2 linked regions of the Caenorhabditis elegans genome follow. The protein of the gene in region 1 purifies or fractionates together with the protein of each later gene. This does not show direct contact. Each region holds a gene or a part of one and is shown on either strand. Other genes may lie near its edges. The genes, in order: scyl-1 and syx-16.

Region 1 (8,786 bases):
TATGAGATATGAAGTGTCTTGTGTTTGAACCTTGGAGAATCGAATATTTGAAAATGGATTTCATAAACTTGAAATCATCTCCAAATAAGACAATGCGAGATTTTAAATTTTCTAGGGCTTCTAAAAAATGTTTCAGTTGTTTTTTAAATGATTTTTTTCAAAAATTATATACTTTTCTTTTCAATAAACTCAACCGCCCGTCTGACAAAAGTCGGATCCGATGCAGCAAAATCACCCCATACAAAGTCTCCTCTTCGTGTGTGTGCACAAATTCTAATAAGTGTTTAATCTACGATAAAAAGTTGAGCGGAAACTAACATGTAGGAGTTATTTTTTGATCTTGGCAACTTTCCGAATTCACTTTTTACATTTGGCTTCAAATATTTGATTAGTTCATGTTGCATTGAAGGGAAATACTTCCAAGACTAAATTTTAGATTTATAATAGCAATAATGTCATTAGAACCTGATAATAGTATCCAGCTAAATGTAAATACTGATCTTCATTATTTTCAAGAATCGTTGGTTCCACGTAGACACAACATCGTGAATTGAAGTTGATGAATTGTGTTGGTGGTGGAACCTTAACAATTTTCAAATTCAACTATATATTATTTTTAAACAAACCGTTCCATAAACAATTTCAAATTGATCTATCAATCCAGGAATAGCTTCTTTCACTTTGTTCAACATATTCAAATAAGTTTTATCTTCCACAAAGAACAAGGATTTACGATGTAGCTGCCTTGACATTCCCAATAAAGCAGCCATTTCAAAAATGTGATTTCCTGAAACTTATTTCTTTAAATTTTATGATTTTTTTCAAATACCTAATCTCATTCCTGCTGCGAGCCTGCTTGAAAGATATTTCTTGTTTTTATTAGAATTGGTGAAATACTCTGAAGTTCTGAAACATTTGAAAATGTCTACAGTTTTATAGAATAAGGCCAAATTTCTGGGTTAAATAGACAAACACCTATTCGGTAGTACGCTTCCGCCTCATGCCTACTTCAAACCTTCCCACTTTATCTACGCACCAAGCGCTTCCCTGCCCCTCTACATACCTCTTATCTGTCTATGTGCCTACCTCAAGCCTACCTATATTTATGTCTTTTTTTATTGTGTCTTGAAATAATTATCGGTGTTTGGACTTACATTGGTAACGTAGTTCTATTGCAAACATTTGTAGATAGAATTATTACTGTAATTGGAAGTTTGAACTTTTGAATGTTCCTATTACCCTACCAGTTAATATCAGAAAAATTACAAATAACCGAGTTTTGAACATTTTCGTAAGAAGTGAGGGTGTTGGTGGTTGAATTTCGGTCATTTAGTAAAGCTGAAAGAAGAAGAGATGAAACAGGAGTAGTTACAAAATGCATGTTTCGATGTTTCGTAATTGATGTGATCCCTTTCCAATACATCGAATCACAGCATGAGTCCAACATGTATGGGCTGCACATTTTTGTCCCAAAAGAACATCAAGTGTAATTTTGTTTTCAAACATACCTCAAGTCTGCCTACGTACCTTCCCATATTTGCCTACGAGCCTATCTCATGCCTACCTACTTGCCTAAACTTTTGTTAGTGTCAAAAATTACCTTTTGCACCACAGCAACACAGCATGGGTCCGACGATTCAATAGTAAAACCAAGTGTACATTTTTTAAAGTTTTATTTTAACCATCATAATTTTTTTGAAAAGAAAGAACATGAAATGCGAGCAATTTTTGTTTGGAAGCGAAGGAAATGAGAAAAAGAAAGAAAAACATGAATAGAATACGTTAATGGATAGAATCACAGGAAATTGTTTGATGTACTTACAAGGGAAGTCTTTGAGGGGGTCCGTAGATTTGGGGTTCTCATGCTAAAATTCCTACAGAAGAGTGTTAGTTATGATCTCTCCAAAAAATTTAGCTGCCCCGGTCAAGTTTCAGCAAAGTTATGACGTTTTGAAAATTCAGTTAAAAACACCATTGAAATCCACTGTCTTACCATGCAGTCCACGCAAATCTCAGCTTGCGTGACCACCGAAAATGTGACACCCACAACATTGAGTTGAAAAATGTCCTCGGTGGCCGAGTTGGGAGTGCGCGCGTCTGATAAGATTTAAGCTTTGGTTCGATTCCTTCTATTTTTGTAAGTTGAATAAAGTTGTAAAACAACTCATTCAAACATTTTTGCGCATTTTTAAAGTGATTTTATTCTTATTCGGGAACCTAGAATCATTGTCCGCACTTTTTGGAAATTTTTATTTTTTTCATTTTTGCTCAAAATTTCTTGATCAACTCCAAGCAAAAAAATCAAAAAATTTCATTTTTCTAAACAATTATGAAATTGCTATGTTGTTGTTCAGAAATGTATGAAACGTACATTACACAAGTTTTAACTCTCTATTCGCAAGTAAACCGTCGAAATGATCTACATCTCACGAACTTTGTGCAAAATATTTAACCAACTTTGAAGTTGCATAACTTCATTGAGATAAATTATTGTGAAAAATGATCAACTAACAAAATGTTTGTTGAATAACAGTGAACAAAGTTTTAGTTATAAACTTTTTGATACCTCCAGCTACAAAGAAGAAAACAAGGTTGGCATTTGGCTAGTTTTTCTATTAACATTGTGTTTTGGAAAACGGTCACAACTTTTTGGTGGCTGAAGGTATCAAAAAGTTTATAACTAAAACTTTGTTCACTGTTATTCAACAAACATTTTGTTAGTTGATCATTTTTCACAATAATTTATCTCAACGAAGTTATGCAACTTCAAAGTTGGTTAAATATTTTGCACAAAGTTCGTGAGATGTAGATCATTTCGACGGTTTACTTGCGAATAGAGAGTTAAAACTTGTGTAATGTACGTTTCATACATTTCTGAACAACAACATAGCAATTTCATAATTGTTTAGAAAAATGAAATTTTTTGATTTTTTTGCTTGGAGTTGATCAAGAAATTTTGAGCAAAAATGAAAAAAATAAAAATTTCCAAAAAGTGCGGACAATGATTCTAGGTTCCCGAATAAGAATAAAATCACTTTAAAAAGGCGCAAAAATGTTTGAATAGGTTGTTTAAAACTTTATTCAACTTACAAAAATATTTCAAAAATAGAAGGAATCGAACCAAAGCCTAAATCTTATCAGACGCGCGCACTCCCAACTCGGCCACCGAGGACATTTTTCAACTCAATGTGGTGGGTGTCACATTTTCGGTGGTCACGCAAGCTGAGATTTGCGTGGATTGCATGGTAAGACAGTGGATTTCAATGGTGTTTTTAACTGAAATTTCAAAACGTCATAACTTTGCTGAAACTTGACCGGGGCAGCTAAATTTTTTGGAGAGATCATAACTAACACTCTTCTGTAGGAATTTTAGCATGAGAACCCCAAATCTACGGACCTCCTCAAAGACTTCCCTTGTTAGGATTTGATACAAATGGGGTCGAATAAAACAGTTTTAATTACAAAAATGTGAAATACAAGTAGGGTGATCTCTACTACAAAACGAAGCGAGTTTCTTGTTACCAGTCAGCAAAATCGTCCATTTTCTTTTCTACAGATGCCAATTTCATTGCTCCGGCAGATTTTTTGCGATCCATTTGTTCTTTGCGACGAGCTTCATTTCTAGCCTGCATCTCGGCTCGACGAGCATCTGGAAAATGAAAAATGCAAGCGGATTGTTATTCTCCAACAACGGTGACCGTACCTTTATCATCCTTCATTTTCGTTGGTTGGAGTACTGCAGTTGGCTGAAGCACATTGCTTGACATACTGTTATCACCCCATCCATCATCGTCCCATCCTTTGTTAGCTGATGAATTATTAGTTGTTGGTAAAGGATCATCGAATCCCCATCCTGAAAATATACATGTTTTCAGATAACATTAAAAAAAGATCAAACAAGTTTCATAACTAAATTCTACGTGAGAAAATAAAACATATGCTAAGGAAATAATATTTACCAGTATTTGTAGAAGAGGAAGAATTGTTCATGAGAGCATTCAGCGAATTCGGCTTGACTGAAGATCCCGCAGCTGGAGGTGCTGATATTCCGAGAAGTGCATCAATATTGTCATCAATAGCTTTTTTGGTTTGTTTCTGAGCAGATGATCCTGCCAGATTCGATCCTAAGTTTAATCGTCCAATTGTTGGCTTCTTCGCGGCTGCAGACGAACTAGATGATGACTTTTTGACTCCAGGAATGGGAGATGATGTGGCAGTTGCTATCTGAAATAAGACAATATGGTTTAAGTAAATAAAACCTTAATTCTTACTGGAGTATCCCAACCAACTCCCCAGTCATCAGCATCATTAGACTTCGTGTTGATATCAGCCCAATCATCAATAGCAGAATCATTTGAATCCTTCACTGCGAACATATCTCCTCCATCTGTTAAATCTCCCCAACCATCATTTGTTGCAGGTTTAGCAGGGGTTGGTTTGAGAACTGTGCTTGATTTTTCTGAAAATAAAAATATTAACAACTTATTGAAAAAATTGCAGAACAAACCTTTCTCCGCCGTTGGGTTAGGTGTTACTGGTCTTGAGGAAGTATCAGCAGTAGCTGGCGCTCCTGGTTTGACTTCTGCTGGAGGTGGTCCCTTATAAAACTTTCCAGATAATGACTTGAGAGCCCAACTTGCCCATTGTGGAACTTTCTCGTGGTCCAGAATAGAACTTGCTCCGGCTTTAACTCCAGCTTCGAGTTCAGGAATGCAAGCTGGATTTTCAGATGCTTTTTCAAGTTTTTCAAGGAATCCACGAATAGCCTTGAATGCTTGATCTCTAACTTGTTTTTCAGGATCACAAGTCAACGGAATGAGACTCGGAACAATTCGGTTGGAAATTTCAACGAGTGGATAGAACTGTTGAGTTGCAGAAAGCGCTAGAACTGAAGCCATTCTTGATGGTGCAAACGGATCCTTCAGAGCTCTAGTAAATGCGCTTATTAATATTCCTTGTCGTTTAGCAGGTGCAATCAGGTGTCCGATCTTCCCGAGGCAAATGGTAGTGTTGGTTCGAATACCTCCATGCTCATCTCCTCCTTGTAAACGGGCAAGATACTTCATCAATTCGACATTTAAATTATTGTAGTTGAGTTTCTCTGCCAATGAAACCATTGCTTTGACTGTACTTTCGCGAACTGCTGGATTTGTGTCCAAGAAACCAGATGTTAAATTTCTGAAATTAAACATTTAAATAAGAATTTCAGATTTCAGAGAAAAAATCTAACCCAAATATTTTGTCGTTCAAAATTTGTGGAGTCAAATGAGGTGCAAATTCATCGATTCTTTCTAACAACTTGACTCTTGTAGTTCTATCTGGACTGCCAAAAAGTTTGCACAAACATGGAACAATTGTTCTCTGATATTCTGCTTCATCAAGAAGACGTCCAAGTTTGAACAGAGGAATTAAAATATTCGGTCCTGCATCTCCATATTCATAGGTAAGAATAAGTTTTGGAAGAATTTTATATTTTGCTACGTCTTCTGGGAAGATATCAATATTTTCTCGAAGATGCATGAAGAACGATTGTTTTTCGCTAGCTTCCTTCAGTTCGAATTCTTCCAGGAAAAGTAGAGTATCCACGAATTTATTCTTCAAGTATCCCCCAGTGAGTCGATATTCTGAAATCTTTGAAACTGAATAAAAACAACAAAATTAATTTTGGATTATCTTTAATAATATCACAAACTGCAAGTCGTGCAGCTGATTGTGCTCCAATTTTTTTGTATAATTCGTGTATCCGTTGTGGTATCTTCCCTGGAGCCTGTGGTCTTGTGATAGCGTCATTGAATCCATTGAAAACTTCCCATAAAACAATTGCTAATTGATTTAAATCTGTCTGTGGACTAGTGAATCCAGTGACCAAATGAAGTCCACCAATTTTCCAATCTCCTCCGGCTGTTACAAATACTCCTTTACGCAGATTTTCGTGACTTAGTTTAGCTTCGTGCATAAATTTTAGAGCGTTCTGAACAAAAATAGATTATTTGTAAGTTTACAACTATTAAAAAACATACTAATAACTGAAACATTCCCCAGGAAACAACAAATTCTTTTTGGCTTTCAGTGAGACCGGCTTCCTTTAAATACAGCTCCAGTGGTTTACATTTTTCCGTGACGAGGTAGAAAGTTCCTTCTAGCTGAAAAATCCGTTCGTGTGAAGTCATCAAATTGCGAAAACCCACTTCAATACTATCTAAATAAGTGATAATGTTAGGATGGCGCATGGTTTTCAGCTTTTGTGCTTGTTGTTTTAACGTTGAACTTCGGTTGTCCCAGAAGATTGTTGCGAGTTCACCGGGTTCAGCCTACAATATTTATTGAAAATATTCATTGAACAGCTAAAAATGCAAAAACTCACTTTCTTAAAGCTATTTCCGATCGAAACTCGATCGAAAAAGTGTTCTTCTGCTCCAGGAATGTCATATGGGAATTGGGACTTCGGATCCCGTTGGAAGAAGGATGACAACACCGATGCCATCCCTAAAAGTGATCGAAATTTATAAAATAATCTCTCCGTAAAATTGAAACGCTGGAAAACCGGTCGGGTTACGTGGAAATCGAATTTGAACACATTTAATAGAAAAAGGGGCAAGATTGTCACTACTGACGCATCGATTGCAGTTTCTCTGCGTCTCGTCTCTCTTTCACTCACTTTAAAAGATGAGAATAGACTCATTCTCGTTTATTTTGGCTTTGTTTTTCCTAGTTTCTCTGGTTTCTCAATGAATTTATATAAATCTTACCGAAAATAGTGAAATGCGATAGAACTGAAACATAATAATGTTTTATCAAATTACTAGAGCTTCAGTTTACATTTAGTTTTTCAGAATGTCTAGAAATGATCTGGTATTTAATGAAAAACATTGAAAGAGACAAAGAAAAATATATTCGAAAATGATTCAAAAGAATTTTAAAAACCAGTGACTGTACTTCTCGTGCCGATGCCCATCACTTTGGTCGCATCTGCGCCTTTAAAATCTACAGTACCCTTGCTCAAAATTCTTCGATAATTTTTTTAGCTCTCACTATTTAGTCAGCACTTTTCCTTTTTTTCCATATCTTTTAATGATTTTTCTCCTCGTATATATTAAATTCCTTCTATTTTTGATCGTTTGATCACAATAATGCTTCTGGAATGTCAGTCACAAAATAGTACACCTTCGAAAACGCGATAAAGGTGGGAAATTCCGTGATGACAACATTTTTTGGCTCGCAAATCAAGTTCTGCACAGCCCCGCGTGTAAGTGTGAATATTTGTGTGTATGTCTTACACCTGATAACACATTTCTCTGAAAACTGACGACCTAATCGCCTCCGGCCTGAACCAACATGCCCTATGGTGTCGAATGATGCAAAGCGCTCGAAAATTTATAGTTTCGAACTTTCATATTCCCATTTCTAATTCAAAAAATTTGCGGAATTTTTTCCCATACTCATTTTATAGAAAAAGACCAGAACGTCAACCAGTCTTCCGCTAAAATGTGTATAAACGGGTCAGTGTTTATCAATAGACAGCCCGAAAACTCACTCGACCAATACTGCTTTTTTCGAGATTTCTAAGCGGAAAATGGAAATCGATTTGTTGTCATGTGATGTTTGCTGCGAAACGTTCGCGAAAATTAATTGTTTCCGTTTCTATCAAAAGAACAAAATTCAATGTATCCGTTTCTATAATTACAAAAGAACGCATTGTTACAGAATAGGTTTTTTTGTCAATTTTGTATGCTTTGCAATCTTTTTGCGCTCAAATTTCTGATCATTTTACTGTGAGACCATTCTCTGATTCTTCCGCAAAATAAAAATTTCGACATCGACCTCGACGTTTATTTAAATAAGTTCTAATATCATTATTTTCATGACGTGTGCTCAGGTTTTCCTTGAAATCTAATTATAAGTCACATATTTCTCTAATTTCCTCTGGAAAAGTCTCGAAATTTGGCGCCATCAGGAAACCTACGTCAATTTCATTTTCTCCGAATCTCCGCCCACTTTCTATCATTTATAGCGACTAGTCGCTCCAAAAGTTTCAGTGTCTGCCGGTGATTTCAGTGCTCTCCCATGCTTGTACAAACACGCAATAAATTATAAATCAAATTAGCAGACAGCCGACTTGACGGCGTTTATCAGCCTGTCAGTCAGCCAGCTGAGAGAGTAGATGACATCGCAGATGTGTCCCTCCTTTTCCTTGTTTCAACATATGCTACTGATAAGCGTTAATTAAAGACGCACATCGTTTTTCATTTAATGATTTTTATTCCAGAATTGCGTGCACATGACTGAATTGAACTCTTTTCGTTCAATGAGCGCAGTATTTTCTATTTATGGCTTTATCGAAAAGAACTAGCCTGCCATCTCTTTTGCTCCTACAAACTTCATAACCACTTCTCTTCAAACCTTGAAACTCAATTTCTTATATATCCTCCTTCTTCCCGCCTTCATATTTCTCATTTTATTTATATCGCTTTCAGGGTATATTTCCTTTTCAATGTCACTTCAATCCCTCCTATCTACAAAAATAGTCCGCGCGACATCAATCGCCGACGCCGCTTTTGATGCTGTCGTGCTCGTCGGAAGTCAGGACAATGTTCAACAGTTCGGAGCGATCCAACAGGTCTCCGCAATCGCTCCAGCCGTTAACAATTTCTTAAAGGTTCGCCCTTTTCTCAATAATCTCTAATAATACCCTAATCTTCCTTTTCAGCTACACTCTGGTGCGTTCAACTCAACGTCTCTCGTTCAAGTCGACTCATCTGTCGTTCCATCTGGACGACTGATTCTAT
Region 2 (5,442 bases), on another chromosome or scaffold:
CGAAAAAGTGGGACAGAGGCATTCCTGTAGGTAGGCATGTAGGCAGGAGCCGTTTTTTTTTTCAATTTTTTCATTTCACTGGAAATGAATCTGCTGTGATAAAGCCGAGAATGTTTATATTTTCGCTGTGATTCATAAATAAAGAATTTTCGGCCAACCATCCTCTTCATCCATAACGTTGTTCTCTCACAGCCCCCGCACACCATTAAAATATTTCCAGGAAATGTGTCGTTTTGCAGTATAAAAGTGGTGTCCATCTACTTCTATCCATGTTCTTTTCAATCTGAATGCAAAAACTCCCCTTGCTAAAAAAAATCCCTCATCTCTGCCTACACGCCTAGATCAACCTTACCTACGCCTACAGACATGTCTCACGTCAGTTGTATTATTGAAACAACAAGATCCTAAAAAAATCCAAAAATGATAAGTGGTCTGAAGGTATCGAGAAGGCTGCGTATGTGTGTCAACTCACAAGCGCGGTCCGGCCACTGCACCACGCGGTCGCTTTTGTCTGCTACCTTTCGGTCCTGAACCATCCACGACTCCTTATGCACCCGGGACTAACCGCCTTCCGACAGTTATCCCCTGGTGACGTAGCGCTTGGCACGGACGCTCGGTCGACGTAGACAACGACATACACAGGACTCCTCCTCTCACTCCATCCACACTTATCTACCGTCAAGAAGCTGACTCACAAGCGCCCGCCACGACGCTCGGTGGTTTTTCGCAATGCGAAAGGAAAGACGAGTCTATGGGGAAAGGGAGAGTGCAACGGTCAGAACGTTTTATTTAGTACGTGAGTTTTGTTGCAATGCTTTATAAAATAGCATTTTTAATATAGAACACTTTTGGTAATTACCTAATTGCAATAAATGCGACCCGTAGGTCCTGCCGCGCGCAAAACTTTTCAACTACAGTACCCTTCAACTACAGTATTACGGTGTGTGTTTTCTTTTCTTTTTTAATTTCAATACACTTTTTATTAACTCTTCAATAAAAATAGTTTGAAAACTAAAGGACAACGCTTAGTAATTTAATTTTTCAAATATTTGATGCCAATCTGTCGATATAAGATATTTGTAAAAATGTTTCTATTTTATTCGGTTATGTAACAGCTGTCTGACGAACTTTTTTGCGGCTAAAGGGTCACTTGTCGTCTTTGTGATTGATATATTTCACTTTGTTTCATATCATTCTCTCATGTGAACTAAACAATTATTTATGTTGGTAAGCAACTGTTTACCAGTGTGGCTAATAACCCTAATTTCGTTTTTACACTACTGTTTGAAAATTATGATCAGAAATTCGAGCATTTTCAATGTTGCAACAAAAAATTTTCAAAAAACGATCTGATAATTGGTCGTTGTTGAAGAACTTTTGGGTAAATATACAGTAACCTTGGTTTTCTAAGTCTCTCATTGTGATACAATCACTAAATGTCCACGTAATAGATGATTTATTTCTTTGTGTGCCTCCTCCACACATCTCGATGTAAAGTGTTCGATTATTGTAAAGCATTCTACTTTCTTGTGCACAATCATAAAATATATTATTCCTCCGTTAAAACACTTTTGTTCTTTTTTGAATTTTATTGTTTAAAATGTGATACGACAATTTAAAGGCGCATGCCGTTTTTTCTGCTCGTAGAATGTGTAAATTCACATTCTGAAATGCATGAAGATTGATCTGAGTCACCATAAAATGTAAAAAGTCACACATCTTTCAAGACTTAAAGTGCAATTTTTTCTTTTCCAATTTTGTAAAATATTTCCACTGAAAAGAAACAATGTGTTGTGATTATTTGCAGAATTTGCGAAAAAGAAAAGTTTAGAAATTCTGAAAAAACGTGCGTTGGACTTGCAAAAACTAAAATTTTTCTTGGCAATAAGTTCTTGTTTTTTACGAACACAGTGTACAATCTTACTATTTATTTTTTTCGAATTATTTCAGTTTTCAGCCGAACGTATTTTCTTTCTGAACAATGCCACTGGACACATCAGCATGAGCTACACCAACGGAATTGGCCATAGCGGTTTTTGACTTTACAGCATTAGCACCGGTCATTGAGCACGAATTGAAGATGAAAAATTCTTTAGATAAAATTTGAAACCTTATAATATTCTTCTAAAAGTACTATTCCTTTGCTTCCTGGTCTGATCGGTGCTTCAATCTCATACATACCTGCATATCTATTCACTAATCATTCTCACTTTGATCTTGTCATTGGGAGCTTTTCAGGTCCAAACGTTGCATACGTTTGAGTGTTTTATCAATTAAAAGCTAAAAACAGTCAAGTCTGATGTATCAATGCCAAAGGATGTTGTTTTCCACTGTTTTGAGAATCGAAAAAAAAAATTGTTTTCAAAATTTTCGACTTGCCTACATATTTTAGTTTTTATTTTCCAGACTGAGTTTTTCAGAAAGTTGTTAATTTTTTCATTTCTGTTGCTAATATTTTAAATTTAGAAATTTATTTTCAAAATTACAATCTACGATTTTTGCACAAAAATTCGGTGCCAAAAATCAGCACGACAAGTTTTCGTTAAATAAAAGAAGTGTGCACCTTTGAAGAGTACTGTAAATTTAAACTTTTGGTGTTGATTATCAATTTTCTAAATGTTTTGAAGAAAATTTAATTTTTTATTAAAAACTAAAGCGAAATAATATGAAAACACTTGAATTTGAACAACTCGAGAGAAATACTATGTATGAAAAATTTCAAACTACAGTAACCTTTAAAGGCGCACACCTTTTCGCATTTAATAAATATTATCGTGTCGAGACCGGGCGTCGTATTTTCGGAGCTGAAATCGCAAAATTTTGCGTTCAGGCTTTTCATAAAACAATAAATGTGGGTTGAATGATTCTTTCGCTCGCCGGCAACTTTTTTTCTTTCCATTTATCGCAGCCGATATGCAAGAAAATTCCAAAGTAAACACGCTCCATCGCACATTCCCCTTTTTCCTCTCCAAATTGATGTCGTTCGCTGGATAACGTCACTCTGGAAGTAAATTTGCAACGTTTTTATTCTAGCATTTTATTGATTTTTTCCAGATGGCTTCCTCTTCTGTTACCGCTGCTGCAAATGCTGCAAAGAAAAATGAAATTTACGGAACAACGAGAAATTTGACAGAAGTTTTTATGCTTTTACGTTCAAATGCTCATCAAAGTCGATTAATTTATAAAGATGATACAGATATAATTGTGAGGAGTCGTGGTGATGGTGAGTATTCTGAATTGGTTCAAATATTCATTAAATGACTTTTATTAAATAGGTTTTTCTAAAATCTCTTCTTTTCAAATGATCAAATTCTGTACTGCGAATTGCAGTCTGCAATAATGTATTTTTCAGAAGAACGAATGGCCTTAGTGGAACTTGAAGATGGGCGACAAGAATCCGATGAAGAGCCAGTTTGGATTCATACTGCTGATCAAGTAGAATTCGAAGTTGAAAGAGTTCAGAGAAGACTAGATGAACTTGGAGAGGCACAGAGAAAACACATTTCGCGACCTAATTTTGGAGATGAAGCATTCGAAAAAGAAGAGAAGCAAATGGAACAGACGACGGAGCAAATCACTCAAATGCTCACACATTGTCAAAGGCTAATCAGGTTTGTTATTTACAGACTCGGTTTGACTTAGGTAATTCAAAATTTTCCAGAATGATATCTGGAAGTCATAACAAAGAAAAACCTATGCAGCGAAAGTTAAGAGAAAATGCTGCTGCAACCCTGAGCCTAACACTTAGCCAAATTACCGATGAATTTAGAGGAAGACAACTGAAATATTTGAGTGATATCCAGGTAAGCGATTTGAAAAAGTTTCATTCAGCACATCAAAATTGTTTCAGAATCGTTCCCGTAACGTGGACAATTACCTTATCACAACAGATCCACTGATTGATGCTCCCAATTGGGCTGAGCTAGATGTGTCACCATCTACAGAAATATCAATGGCCCAGCTTCAACAATTTATGAATAACGATCGAGAAGTTCGAGAGCGCGAAAAGGAAGTGATGGCTGTGAACACATCAATTAGAGAATTAAATACACTCTTCCAGGATTTATCAGAAATGATTGTAGATCAAGGAAGCGTCATTGATAGGTAAAACGAAGCTTTAAGGTCAATTATAGTAAATTTTAATTTCAGAATAGACTATAATGTTGAACAGACCTCGATTCGTGTGTCGAAAGCAGTTGAAGATGTCTTCAAAGCGGAACGATATCAAAAAGGAAACAAAAAAATGCATTGTATTTGTATGCTCACTGTTGCCATTATTTTTGTACTGATTCTTATTATTGTTACTAAATTGTAATTCTTTTACTTCAGTAGTTTTATTTATATTTTTTGAATAAACCGGGTATTTTATTGATTTCTCTAGTTCAATCAATGAAATTCTAATTTTAGATTCCGGTTAGATTCCGTAATGCAGATATTTCCTTGTTTTATTCAAATTTAAAATTCTTCCACTACTTAATCTGTAATTAAAAATGTTCTCTATATAAAACTCGTGCACATCACTCTAGAGCAGGGATTCATTATGTTGCCGCATTTTCACTCGGATCATGTTACTCTTCGAATTCCTCTGATAATTTAGTCATTTTCTTCCGTCTAAATTCGTTTAAAATCAACTGATTAACGCCAAAGCCAATTTTTCTTTCTCTTTCCGCCAAAAGCCTTGAAATTGACTACCGTAACACTTGTCGCTTCGAGACCCAGGCCGCATTTCGGACCGCCCGCAGCACGCGTCGCGGAGCTTTTGGGCGAGATATTTCGAAAAATGTTGTTGTTGTGTTTTCCTTTCACGATTTTTTTCTTTTGGGCGCAAATAATGGCTTTTTAATACCGGATATATGCTGCATTGGCCTAAAGTGTTTCGAATGGCCCACAAAATTCCATTTGTCCTCTGTTCGGGCCTCTATTTTTCAATGTCTTTAACCTTTTCTCAAGTTTACCTTTTTCTCCGTCGATCACCCTTTTCTTCAAGGACTATTATCCAAAAATGATTGATTTAAATATATTTCAGCATTTACGAAAATAATGATGCCCAATGACACTAATGGGGATGACTACAAAAAGCTGGAAAAAGCTTCAGTGAACCTCAACTTCCTGAAAAGCAACAGGTAAATTTTAATCTTTCTAAAACACATTCAAAATCAATACCCATAAAAATTTCAGTCACACCCACATTGGTCCCTTGTCGGCAATAGCAGAGCTAGTGGATAATGCGTATGACGCAGATGCGAGAGATCTTCACATCGATTTTCGTAAGTTTTGAATTGTTAATTTCAGTAGAGAGAAAATGTTTATATTTACAGTGGACATCAATAATGAACAGTTTCTTGAACTTCGTGATGATGGACTGGGCATGGCTCGCGAAGAGGCACTTCACGCCATCACGTTTGGACACTCAGCAAAATGTTCTTACAAAATCGGCCGATA

Evidence for each region.
Region 2: the proteins of scyl-1 (region 1) and syx-16 fractionate together in Caenorhabditis elegans (co-fractionation; one large-scale study listed by BioGRID). This does not show direct contact.

What each region holds. Positions count from the first base shown.
Region 1 is NC_003283.11:13,035,238-13,044,023, forward strand, and holds scyl-1 (Protein kinase domain-containing protein), read right to left. Parts: upstream 6,485-8,786; coding exon 6,365-6,484; intron 6,312-6,364; coding exon 6,189-6,311; intron 6,144-6,188; coding exon 6,021-6,143; intron 5,972-6,020; coding exon 5,674-5,971; intron 5,625-5,673; coding exon 5,231-5,624; intron 5,179-5,230; coding exon 4,508-5,178; intron 4,460-4,507; coding exon 4,272-4,459; intron 4,225-4,271; coding exon 3,960-4,224; intron 3,854-3,959; coding exon 3,704-3,853; intron 3,650-3,703; coding exon 3,519-3,649; 3' UTR 1,657-3,518; downstream 1-1,656. Other genes in the region: W07G4.2 (L-Fucosyltransferase), read right to left, coding at 1-120, 173-273, 319-425, 466-582, 627-787, 830-906, 1,155-1,200, 1,245-1,329; lap-2 (Putative aminopeptidase W07G4.4), read left to right, coding at 8,492-8,656, 8,708-8,786.
Region 2 is NC_003281.10:5,206,496-5,211,937, reverse strand, and holds syx-16 (t-SNARE coiled-coil homology domain-containing protein), read left to right. Parts: upstream 1-2,828; 5' UTR 2,829-3,007; intron 3,008-3,054; coding exon 3,055-3,223; intron 3,224-3,352; coding exon 3,353-3,611; intron 3,612-3,661; coding exon 3,662-3,803; intron 3,804-3,850; coding exon 3,851-4,104; intron 4,105-4,149; coding exon 4,150-4,315; 3' UTR 4,316-4,371; downstream 4,372-5,442. Other genes in the region: ATPase morc-1, read left to right, coding at 5,044-5,123, 5,179-5,267, 5,319-5,442.